Caenorhabditis elegans: one gene and its partner. The protein of the gene in region 1 purifies or fractionates together with the protein of each later gene. This does not show direct contact. Each region holds a gene or a part of one and is shown in the gene's direction. Other genes may lie near its edges. The genes, in order: penr-1 and F38H4.3.

The links.
Region 2: the proteins of penr-1 (region 1) and F38H4.3 fractionate together in Caenorhabditis elegans (co-fractionation; one large-scale study listed by BioGRID). This does not show direct contact.

What each region holds. Positions count from the first base shown.
Region 1 is NC_003283.11:5,267,417-5,271,247, forward strand, and holds penr-1 (HMG box domain-containing protein), read left to right. Parts: upstream 1-2,068; 5' UTR 2,069-2,073; coding exon 2,074-2,193; intron 2,194-2,238; coding exon 2,239-2,471; intron 2,472-2,519; coding exon 2,520-3,011; intron 3,012-3,059; coding exon 3,060-3,168; 3' UTR 3,169-3,328; downstream 3,329-3,831. Other genes in the region: spi-2 (TIL domain-containing protein), read left to right, coding at 487-489, 561-615, 666-787, 989-1,309.
Region 2 is NC_003282.8:11,840,295-11,846,891, forward strand, and holds F38H4.3 (BMERB domain-containing protein), read left to right. Parts: upstream 1-2,126; 5' UTR 2,127-2,267; intron 2,268-4,147; 5' UTR 4,148-4,152; coding exon 4,153-4,291; intron 4,292-4,572; coding exon 4,573-5,175; intron 5,176-5,263; coding exon 5,264-5,790; intron 5,791-5,858; coding exon 5,859-5,948; 3' UTR 5,949-6,075; downstream 6,076-6,597.

The sequences.
Region 1 (3,831 bases):
AATTTTATGAAAATATCTTAAAAATTTTATAAAAATACCTAATATATATTTCCGGCAAGCTGGCATTTAGCAAAAGGACAATTGCCGCCTACCCCTGATATAAAACTCGAAAAAAAAATATGGAAAGTTTGATGCCAAATATCAGGTTTCTTTTCTTGTTCTCAACTTTTTGAAATTGAGAACACTTCTATTCTATTGAGCATTGTGATGTTTGTACCAATTTAAACAAGGAAACATCAACAAAAAGTCACTTGGATCAGTCATCATGTAAATACGCGTCAGTTATGTGTGAACAACTGGTATCTAGTTGATCCTCCGAACTTTGTCACTTCTTTTTCGTTTTTTCGAGAACTGGGCGGCACACAGCAAAAGGGTATAAAATGGTAAGGAAATGGATGGAAAGGCAGAGTCAATTTGCGACCAGCGGTTATTGTACTACAAATAATTGTTATTTGCTATTTTTCAAAGTGTCATAAGTTCTCAACAATGGTGAGTATTTGTTATACATATATTTGTAAAATTTCCTCGTGTCTGTAAGTCTTTAAGTAAACCATTTCCAGAAAGTTTTCATCGTTCTCGCAGCTTTAATTGGATGCTACGTCTACGCTCAAGATGGTAAATATTCTGAAACTTATAATAAGCATGACATATTTTTTTAAATTTAGCTCAAATTCTGCCAGTAGGTGGACAAGTTGGTGGTGGGCAAAGATTGCCATGCCGTGGACGAAATGAAGAATATAAGACTTGTGGAACCGCCTGTGAGCCATCATGCACCAATCCGAACCCGGTAAGCTATCTGCCGACTCTTCGGGTATTTCTGTGCAAACACCGTCACGCGAAAATTCTGCACGCCTAAGTTTGATCTACAAAAAATGCGGGTTTTTTTCCTAGAAAATTGTGACGTCAGTACGCTCTTAACCATGCGAAATCATATGAGATGTATGCGTCTCACCTCCCGCATTTTTCGAAGATCAAAGCGTGTTTTTAGATGTGCACCAAGCAATGCATCAACAACGTCTGCCAATGCAGAAGCGGATACGTTCGTAACGAGATCACCAGACAATGTGTGCGTCAAGCTCAATGCTCCAGACCTGGAACTGGTTTCGGAAGCTCCACTCCGTTCCCATCTCAATCTCCTCAGAGATGCGGACGTAACGAAACATTCAGAACCTGCGGATCTTCGTGTGAGCCGAGCTGTACTACTCCACGTCCACAAGCGTGCACTATGCAGTGTATTGTGAACGTGTGTCAATGCTCTGAGGGATTTGTCCGAGGACCTTCCGGATGTGTCAGACAACGAGATTGTTAAACGAAATGCTTTTTAAAAACATTTTAATCTTGATTCAGCGTACCGCTGAATGATGTTCTGTAAAAATGAGTTTTGCACAATAAAGCTTCTATTCATTCAAAAAATAATCTCGACTTAAAAAACAACTCGTGTTTTTTTGAAATATCGTAATTTTGCTATTAATTTAGAACAAAATATTAGAACAATTTTTAACTGAAAAATAAACAGAAAACGACAGAGTTTGATAAAAACGACGTAATTATTAATAATTACGTCGTTTAATAATACATATGATTGATCAAAATGCTAGAAAACACAAGAAAGCAGCCGAAAATGTTCAAAAAAATTTACGATAACCATTTTTGCGCATCGAGACCGATCTAAATAAATTCTTGCTTCTTTAAAACGGATTACAATACAATTTTCCATCACAGAACGAGACTTTTTCAACAGCCACAAAAAACTCAAATTCAAATTGCCGCCGAAAGTGAATTGGTGCGAGGTAAGTGCGCTCCACCGCGAACATCGAATATTATTTCGAATGCAATGCTTGGCATCGTGCCAGCACCCAAATTATTATTGGTGACTGACTGTTTCTTTTGGTTTTCTTCGTTTTCTTCAAAATTATCGCATAAATATTATATTAACCTTAAGTTTCTGGTAAAAAGTACTTTTAAACACGGAATTTATCATAAATCAAGTGTATTTTGCATTTTTAAAACTTAATAACTGTGGATTATGAATTTATCGATTTTTTTTTGCCTACGTTACAATTTTCAGTTGAAATGACTAAACGCAAGAATGCGAGTAACGCTGGATCGAGCCCAAAAAAAGAGAAGAAATCGGAAACTTTTGCTGCTCTAAAGTCGGTTAAAGCGGAAAAGCGGCCAGCTGCGGACTCTTCGGTAAAAATAACCCAATTTCTTCACTAATAAAAGATGATTCTTCAGGATTCCGAGCCGGAGGACTTCGAAGAAGAGCAAATTACTCATACCGAGGCTGAAGAGACGAGAAATGAAGACAACGGTCAAGCGATTTACGAGCCTGATGTAATGCGCCCTTTGATTGAGTCTTTCTTAGAATTCCTTGTTCAAAGGCAGTCTGAAACGAGTACAGTCCATAACATGGAAAACAAGGTTGCGGAATGGGCTGAAACACGTCGAGATGATAATATTGACGCAGGGTAGCTCTTTCTGAAATTTTGGTTTAAATTAAAAATTTATTATTTCAGATTGTTCGTTCTCGACTTCCGTAAGTATCTGAAAAGTGCGGTGAAATTCAAAAATCTGCAAATGAACGATTCGTGTGCCGCCATATCCACCTATCTGAACAGTGAAAAATCTCTGGTCGAGTACAAGTCAATGCCGGATCGTCCACCTACAAAAATACAGCTTTACATAAAGAAACATCAGATTATGTTGAAAGGAATCGGTGGTGAACCGATGAAAAACGCCTACAAAGCAATGAATGCGGATACGGAGGGTGCGAAAGAACTCGACGAGCTACTCCGAGAAGCTTCGTTGCAGTACATTCCACAACTTCAGGAGTTCCTTGATACGCATCCAAATCTGACAGAAGAACAGAAGCGATCAATCGTTAACAAGATGAAGATGCTCAACAAGAAATACAACTCAAAGGAAATTTCAAGCACACCAAAGAAGAGATCTAGCAAGAAGGATCCAGAGACGGCATTCAGCCTCTTCTGTAGAACAAAGAACGATAAGTGAGTGTTTCTTTGCCGAGTTTCAATTTAAAAAAAAATATTTTTCAGGTATCGTGACCTGTCTGACGAGGAACGCGAGATCAAGCTGCAAAAGAAGTTCGAAAAACTGCCGGCCGCTCAAAAGGATATTTACGAAAGCCTTGCCATCAGCATGTGAACCACCCATTCCCCATTAATTTTAAACGTTATTTTATTAATCTCCAATAATGATCAACTTTTCGCGATACTCTTCATTTACTCGAGAATTTCAACCAAATTTGTTTCACACTGTTTTGTTTTTGTTTCAAAAATATTTAATGAAAATCTGTTATAATCATTGTAATTGTCCACTGAGTGGTTGATTTGCAAGTTTTATAGCTTTTCCTCATACTTTTCTCCTGTTCGTTTTTTTCCTAATTAATCCGATTCCCATTTGTGTCGTCAATTTGTAGAAATGGAGATAATTCGATTAGATGTTTCAATTTTTGTAAGAAATTTCATTGACAAGCATCTAGTACCTGCCGATAGTACTCTAATTCGCTAAAATTTTGGCATTTCAGTTCAAAGGCACACGCTATTTTTCCAAGTGGGTCTCGCCACGATCAGACGTAAATTTTGCACATTTTCTCATAGGTTGTAGAAGTGGAAGCTTGATAGGCAAATTTCAATCAAATTTTAAAGTTCACAGAAATTTTCGGCGATTCTACAAAACGATTTTCATTAAATAAAAGTGCCAAAAAATGAAAAATCTTTGATTTATCTGAAAATAATATCAGCTGAAAAATTCCAGAAAAAGCTCAGAAATGCCCGGAAAGTTGATAATTGTCGAAAACGGAAGCGA
Region 2 (6,597 bases), on another chromosome or scaffold:
ATTCTCTTATAAGAACATGGATGTTGTTATTAATGCAGTAATTGGCGTTTTTTGTCAACTTTACACTGAAATTTTCATTTTCTATACTCATAATTCCTTCGAGCAAAAATAAATAAACTTTTAAATGATAAATAGACCTATCTCCTCCGAGATCGCGACAAGCTCATAAAACAATATACATCATTTCATCTTAGGTCACGATAAGCTTAAGATTGCCTTCTTATGAATTCATAGACTAGTCTTTCAGCATCATCTCATTCATTTCTTCAATTGCTTAATCTCGTCAAACCTAATAAAAACACTTTCATTGTGTTATCTTATATCCATTTCCTGCTAGGTAACTATAGAAACTCAAGTGTTATGCTAACAGGTGTATATTTCTCCAATGCAACTTTATTTGATATTACACGAATCGTATAGTTGTTTTCTGTTCTCGATTATTCGATTTTATATATTAAAACATTGAAAAAAATACACAACAAGGATAGACCTTTCAAGAGGTACAATTGTTCAAAGGAAAACATAAGAAAATGAAGTTCAGTGAAGTGAAAGGAAACCTTACTACTAAAATTGTAGGGTGTCTCATGCTGTAGTTATTGAACAAGTTTTACTACTTATCATGTTTTTGAACTAATTTTTTGGTTGGAACTTGTATAAATTATTCCATCAGTTCAAATAGTAATCTCCATTTTTTTCAAAAAAAAACTGTCGGTAATTTGTCTAAAAGCTTACCTAAAATCCCATAGCAAATAGGCAAAGGTTATGTGAAGCTAGGGTGAATTGACTGCATGAACACTATGTGACTTGGTAGCACAGACTTTGAAGTTTGGTCATCAGTTATAGATAATTTTGTTGAAATGTTATACATGAGCCAAGTGGATGTGAAAAGTAGACACAAAAATAATAATTTTTCTTGCTGGAAAAGAGGAAAATAGTGAATAGTTGGAATGATTGGCCACCGAAGTTAAAAATGGCATTTTTTTAATCGTTTAGTATTTTTAACTTTTTGATATCAATTCTTATATACGGAATTTTTTATACTGAAAAATTAAAATTGCTTTTTCAGTGTTCGCTGTTCAAAAATTTTCTTTGCGAAAAAATGTCCTAGTAAATAACTGTATATTATTAGAAATTATAAAAGTAGCTAATAAATATTGCGCCATTTTTAGAACTTGATTAAGCCAACTCTAACACCTACGTGAATGCCTATTTGCCTGCCTACAAGGCAGGCAAGCACGCTTACTCACGTGCATATGTGCCTGGATACCAGAGCATTGAAACATGATAAACATTTTATTACCAAATAATTTAGAAACCAAGCAACTTGCAGAAAAATGGAAAATACGCCCGCTCTCTCACCAGCTCGCGCCTCGCCCGCACGCCCGTGCGCCTAAAAAACGCCCCGAAGAGAAAAAAATTCATAGCTTGTAAAACATTTATTTTCAATTAAATATATAATCTTCCATTATTATGAAACACCAATAATTAACATGATGGCAATTTATGAAGGTAGGGGAGAAAGGCGCCCCACGCTTCACCCGGTTGGGATGCCTAGGCATTTCAAAGTGTCAGCCCCTGCAACTTCCTCACTTAGCTTTTTTTGTCAGTTTCAAGATATCAATGACATCATAAATTGAATCCAAAAAAAGACCACCTTCTTTTCCGTTTCTTTTCACATTTCTTTCCTTCCGTTTCTTGCACACCCTCTAATCACACCCATTGTGTTCCTAGTATTTCTTTTCAAACAATGATCAACTATTTCTTTTTCTTTTTTCTTTTAAATTGTCTCCCATAATATTTCAGTTCACAAATCTCAATTGTCAATATTATGTTTCTTCTGTTTCACTTTCTCTGTTCTCATTATTATTTTGGGTTGAAGGGGGGGAAAGGCGCGTGCTCCTACCAGTTGGCATGGCACCCGCCTTTTTCGAGAGTGTGTCTGTTTGCAATCTCTTTTCTCTATCACACAACAGAAAACGAAAAGGAAAGAAAAAGAAAAAGACAATCTTAATTTCGAACGAGTGTTTGAGTGGCTCCCGCTGAGCACAGTCGCCGGGTTCCAATTTTCTCGGCGTCTCTCGTCATTTCCATGTTTTTTTCCTTCTTCCAAATATGTAATTCCGTGTTCTCGAGTTTCATGTTGTTCTTCACCATCCGTTTAGTTTTGGTTCACCTCTCATTATTCCACACATCTCCATTACTAACTTCTTTTTCTTCTTAAGAATCGCTATTCTAGTACTATTACTACTTGACAAAAATGAGAAGCAGTAAGTTCTTCAAAAATTGAAACAAAATTTTGTGTACTCAAACACTTGTTGACCTACATTTGAGAAATTGTATTCTCATTGAATTAAATTGCCGAACGGTTTGGTTTTTTTCTTTTTCAAATAGTTTTCTCCCCCGTTCCTCATCAGATTCGAATCTAGGCTCTTTGTTTACACACACTCACAGAATTTGAAATTCTTAATCCGCAGTGTAACTTGTCTATTTGAAATCAATAGAAAAATCTAATTTTTATCAGTTTTAGCAACCATTTTACCGTACTTTTCGTATTAGACTTGCACTCCCTTTTGGTCTACTTTGACTGCTTCTATCTAGGTTCTTCTTGGGTTTATCAAATAATTGTCAACTGGCAAGATACGTGCCAAATATTTCTCCATAATTTGGCTGTAGAACACTTTTTGATGAAATTGAAGATAACCGAGATATAAATCGTCAAAGTAGAGCAATGAGGGTTACAACTCAGCAATTCCCGGCAGCTTCTTCCCCAAGTTTGGTGCTTTCCAGCTTCTTACCCAACTCTTGCCAAGTTCTAGCCCAGAGTTTGCCCAAGTCTTACTTTAAGTTTAATTGATGCAAATAAAAAGTGAATCCAAGAAAACCTTGTTTGTCCTGAACTTAATGGTTAGTTTTTCTGATGTTTGCACCTGTTTGCTCCATAATATGTCAAAATGGCAAAAAGGGGCATTATGAACTTCAATGTTTGAATCAAAATGTTGAAGTAGTATTTTGAAACCCTTTCGCCCCACACGCAAATGTAACTTGGACCTTTATTGAATTTCAGTTTTTCTAGTAAGCGTATAAATGTGCCTATGTGCCTACCTGCCTACCGCCTATTATTAACATTTCGCCGTTTGCTCCGGTGTTTGGTGTTTGATGGTTTTTCATTTTCTCATTTTTCTTTTCAATTATTTTGATGAAAGTTCTAGAAATGGCACTCATGTAGGCACAAAGCAGGCATAGGTCGCCTTGAAGGCAGAAAAGCTGGAACTAACATTTTTGGAACGCATTTGAAAATTTTCATTCTAACTCTTCACTAGTTGGTTTCTTCCGCGTAAAAGATAATCTGCAACCAACCAAGACAAAGTTTTGAGCTAAATTTTACTAATTTGAGAACTTCCGCTCGCAAAAATGTTCATGAGAACCAACTTAAAAATTGAGTAGCGCTTCAAAATAAATAAGTATCATAATGAAACACCTCAAAAATTTTTTTTTATTTTTTTAAAAATATTGAGACAAGTTTTGGCAAATTGCCAAACTTTGGGAAATTTTGCACTAAACTGTTTGAATACAAGTTATTATAATTCAACAACTACCACTTTTTTTCAAAAAGAACTACAAACTCAAATCCAGCTTTCATATTGACCATTAGTTGTCTACAGTCCAAATTGTTTCATTTGGCAACGGTTGCATTTTTTAGTCTCTCTTGCGCCACCTTCCACTACCGCCACCTCCTCAACTCCATTCCTTCCTCATCCGCATTTCTTCCAATTTGTTTTATTTGCTTTCCATTATTTACGAGGCGCAGTGTATTTACATGCGCCCATGAGTACGGAGCTGGAGCAAAATAAATTGTTGCTAATTTTGAAGTGGGGTTCGGATATTTTCTATATTTCCCCGTCTTAATCAAATTGCCTTACCTTTTTTTGTGACTTTTTGAAAATCAATCCAATGAAACATATATCTATTTACTTGACCCATTAAAAAAACGAACAAACCAGAATGACTCACTTCCGCCACTTGACTTTGTCACTTTTGTTAACTTGTCAGCTAATCCGATTTGGTCGCCGCTTTTCACAGACCTTGAAATTTGCGGAAATTTGCCAATTTTCCGCCCAAAGTGTTGAACTTATTTCAAAAATTCTAGAATCCATGACAATTACGGACGAGTCAACGAGTCGGGTGGCTGATTCAACAGTACCACCTGACACATCATCTCCATCACTGTTTCAGAGAATTTGTTGTTGTTGTAATTCAGATCTCAAAGAGCCGCCAGTTCAATTGATTAGAAGTGAGTTTTCAGAAAATTAGTTTTAAAGATTTAAAATCTGAAAATTGTTTTTTGTGAAATTTCTTGAATAAAAAAATATATTCAATCTGAAAATGTTGTTTTGTAAAAATCTGGCAAAACATTAAAAAAAGATTGCTCAAAAGTTAATCAGTAGATGAAAAATTAGAAAGCATAAAATTTAAAAATTATTTGAAATGTGTAATCGGATACTCTACTTTTATGAGATACACTTCAAAATGTATACATTAAGTCATCTCAGTCAGTTCAAACCTATTTTTCAGGTGGTTCATTAACATATCAACAAGGAGATACACCAAAACCTGCATCAGATCCAACTTCATCTCCTCCAACTAACAATGTGATTTCTGCAGCAAAACGATCTGTAGACGATGATGTAGAGAAGCCTCAAACATCTCAAAAACCACCTCAAAAACCGAGTGAACCAGATGCAGAGAGTATAAATATGAATGATATATTAATGGAAAATGTGTTAAAAACAACAGAAGAAGATCGAACAGAAGCTGTTGAAGAAGATAATATTTCAATTTCAACAAATGTTATACAGGAAATTGATGAAAATGAGCTGAAAAAAGCACTGAAAAAGTCTGATGAAGCTCCCGCGTTGAAAGGAAGATCTGGAATTTCAAAGGAAATGCCATCTGGATCAGAGGACTCGGATGTAGAAGTGGAGGGTGACAACAGGAAAATGTCAGTTATCGAATTTATTAGAAGTGAAGCTCAAGCTGAAACATCTGCCACTATTTCATCTCCTGCACCCGTGAAAGCAGCGCCTGTCGAAGGGAATGGGGAAGAAGTTGAAAATGGTTTTACCAAAAATGAAAAAATGTCTGAAGCAACACAGTCAGAAATGTCAGATTCTGAGGGTAAGTGGGTTCTTTTTGAATTTTGGGTTCAAACGTTTTTGAGAGTAAAAAACGTGGAGAAGTCAAAAAAAATTACGAAATTTTTCAGATGAAGAGCGAGATGAAGATTCTGATGTTGGAAAGCCGATCAGTGTAGTTGGAATGTCGTCAAAAACCACAGCTCGTGCTGAACGAACCCCTGACGCCGAGGAGAGAAGGATCAGAGAATTTAGAGAGTTGAGCTCTGATGAAAGTTTGAAAGGAACTACCGAAGATGAAGAAGAGGAAATTATTGTTGATGAAATCCCACCACCACTTCCACTATCACCACCCCCAAACCTTTACGGACAAGTCGCCGGCTCTCCGATCCCACCACCTCGTTCCCCTAGAAGATCCTTGATGTACGCAAATGCAGATGAATCAGATTCGGATTCTGATGATGAGGGTAGTGGAGATGCTCATCTTGTTGCAGTAAATGCTCTTGTTCGAATGCATCCGGTTAATTTTGCTCCGCATAGAGAAGATGACAGGCAATCTGTATCATCGGTTTCAACCGCTTCTGATTTGTCTGAAAAAGAAAATGGAACAGATATTGGTATCACACGGATTTCTGTCAAGAGTGATGGCCGAGCAGAGGTATGTGTTGTATAGTTCTGACGTAGATGGTATACTATCACAATATGCATTAATGTTTCTATTTTCAGATCCATTCCCCAAAGAGGCCAGTGCGCGTGACGTTGGAAACAGATCGAAATGAAGTCACTGATGACGACTTTTCAGAGAAACTTATTTGATTGAAGAAAACAAAAACAAATTTCTTTCTGATGACCAAAGTATTTCTTTTTTCATAGTGTCCTGCATAGTTTCTGTCACTTTCTATTGTTGTTTTTTTTCTTTCAAAATGAAAAGTCTATTCTTAAACTCTCTCGATTCTTAAGAAACGAATTCAAAAAAATCCACGAGCTTATTATATACACAGTTAAAATGAGATGTGCGCATAGTGGATGAAGAGCCATAATGCGCGCATCGCATGTGGCGACCACCCGTCATGCGCCTATCGCGAACGGTTTGCGATGGGCCCATATTGGCTCTGTGGATCTTATAGAGAAAAATGACAAAGATCACCAACGAGGAGAATTTCGAAGAGAACTTAGAACACAATGTGTCCATAATTTATGTTCGCGATGCTCGCAAAATGCATCTCAAGTTCGACGCACAATGCGCGCGCAATTTTTTTTCCGGTTCCTTTTTCTCCCACGCGCGTTCCACGCCGAAAACACTATGCGCACATCACATTTTAACTGTGATTGTACTTGGATTGTTGAAAGGCATAGAAGCTCACCCCAAAAATGTACAAAAATGAACGATTTACAAGGGGTTTTAGTCTAATTTCGGTACTTCGCCTTTAACTAGGGATTGGTGTGCAGAGCGTTTAGAATTTTG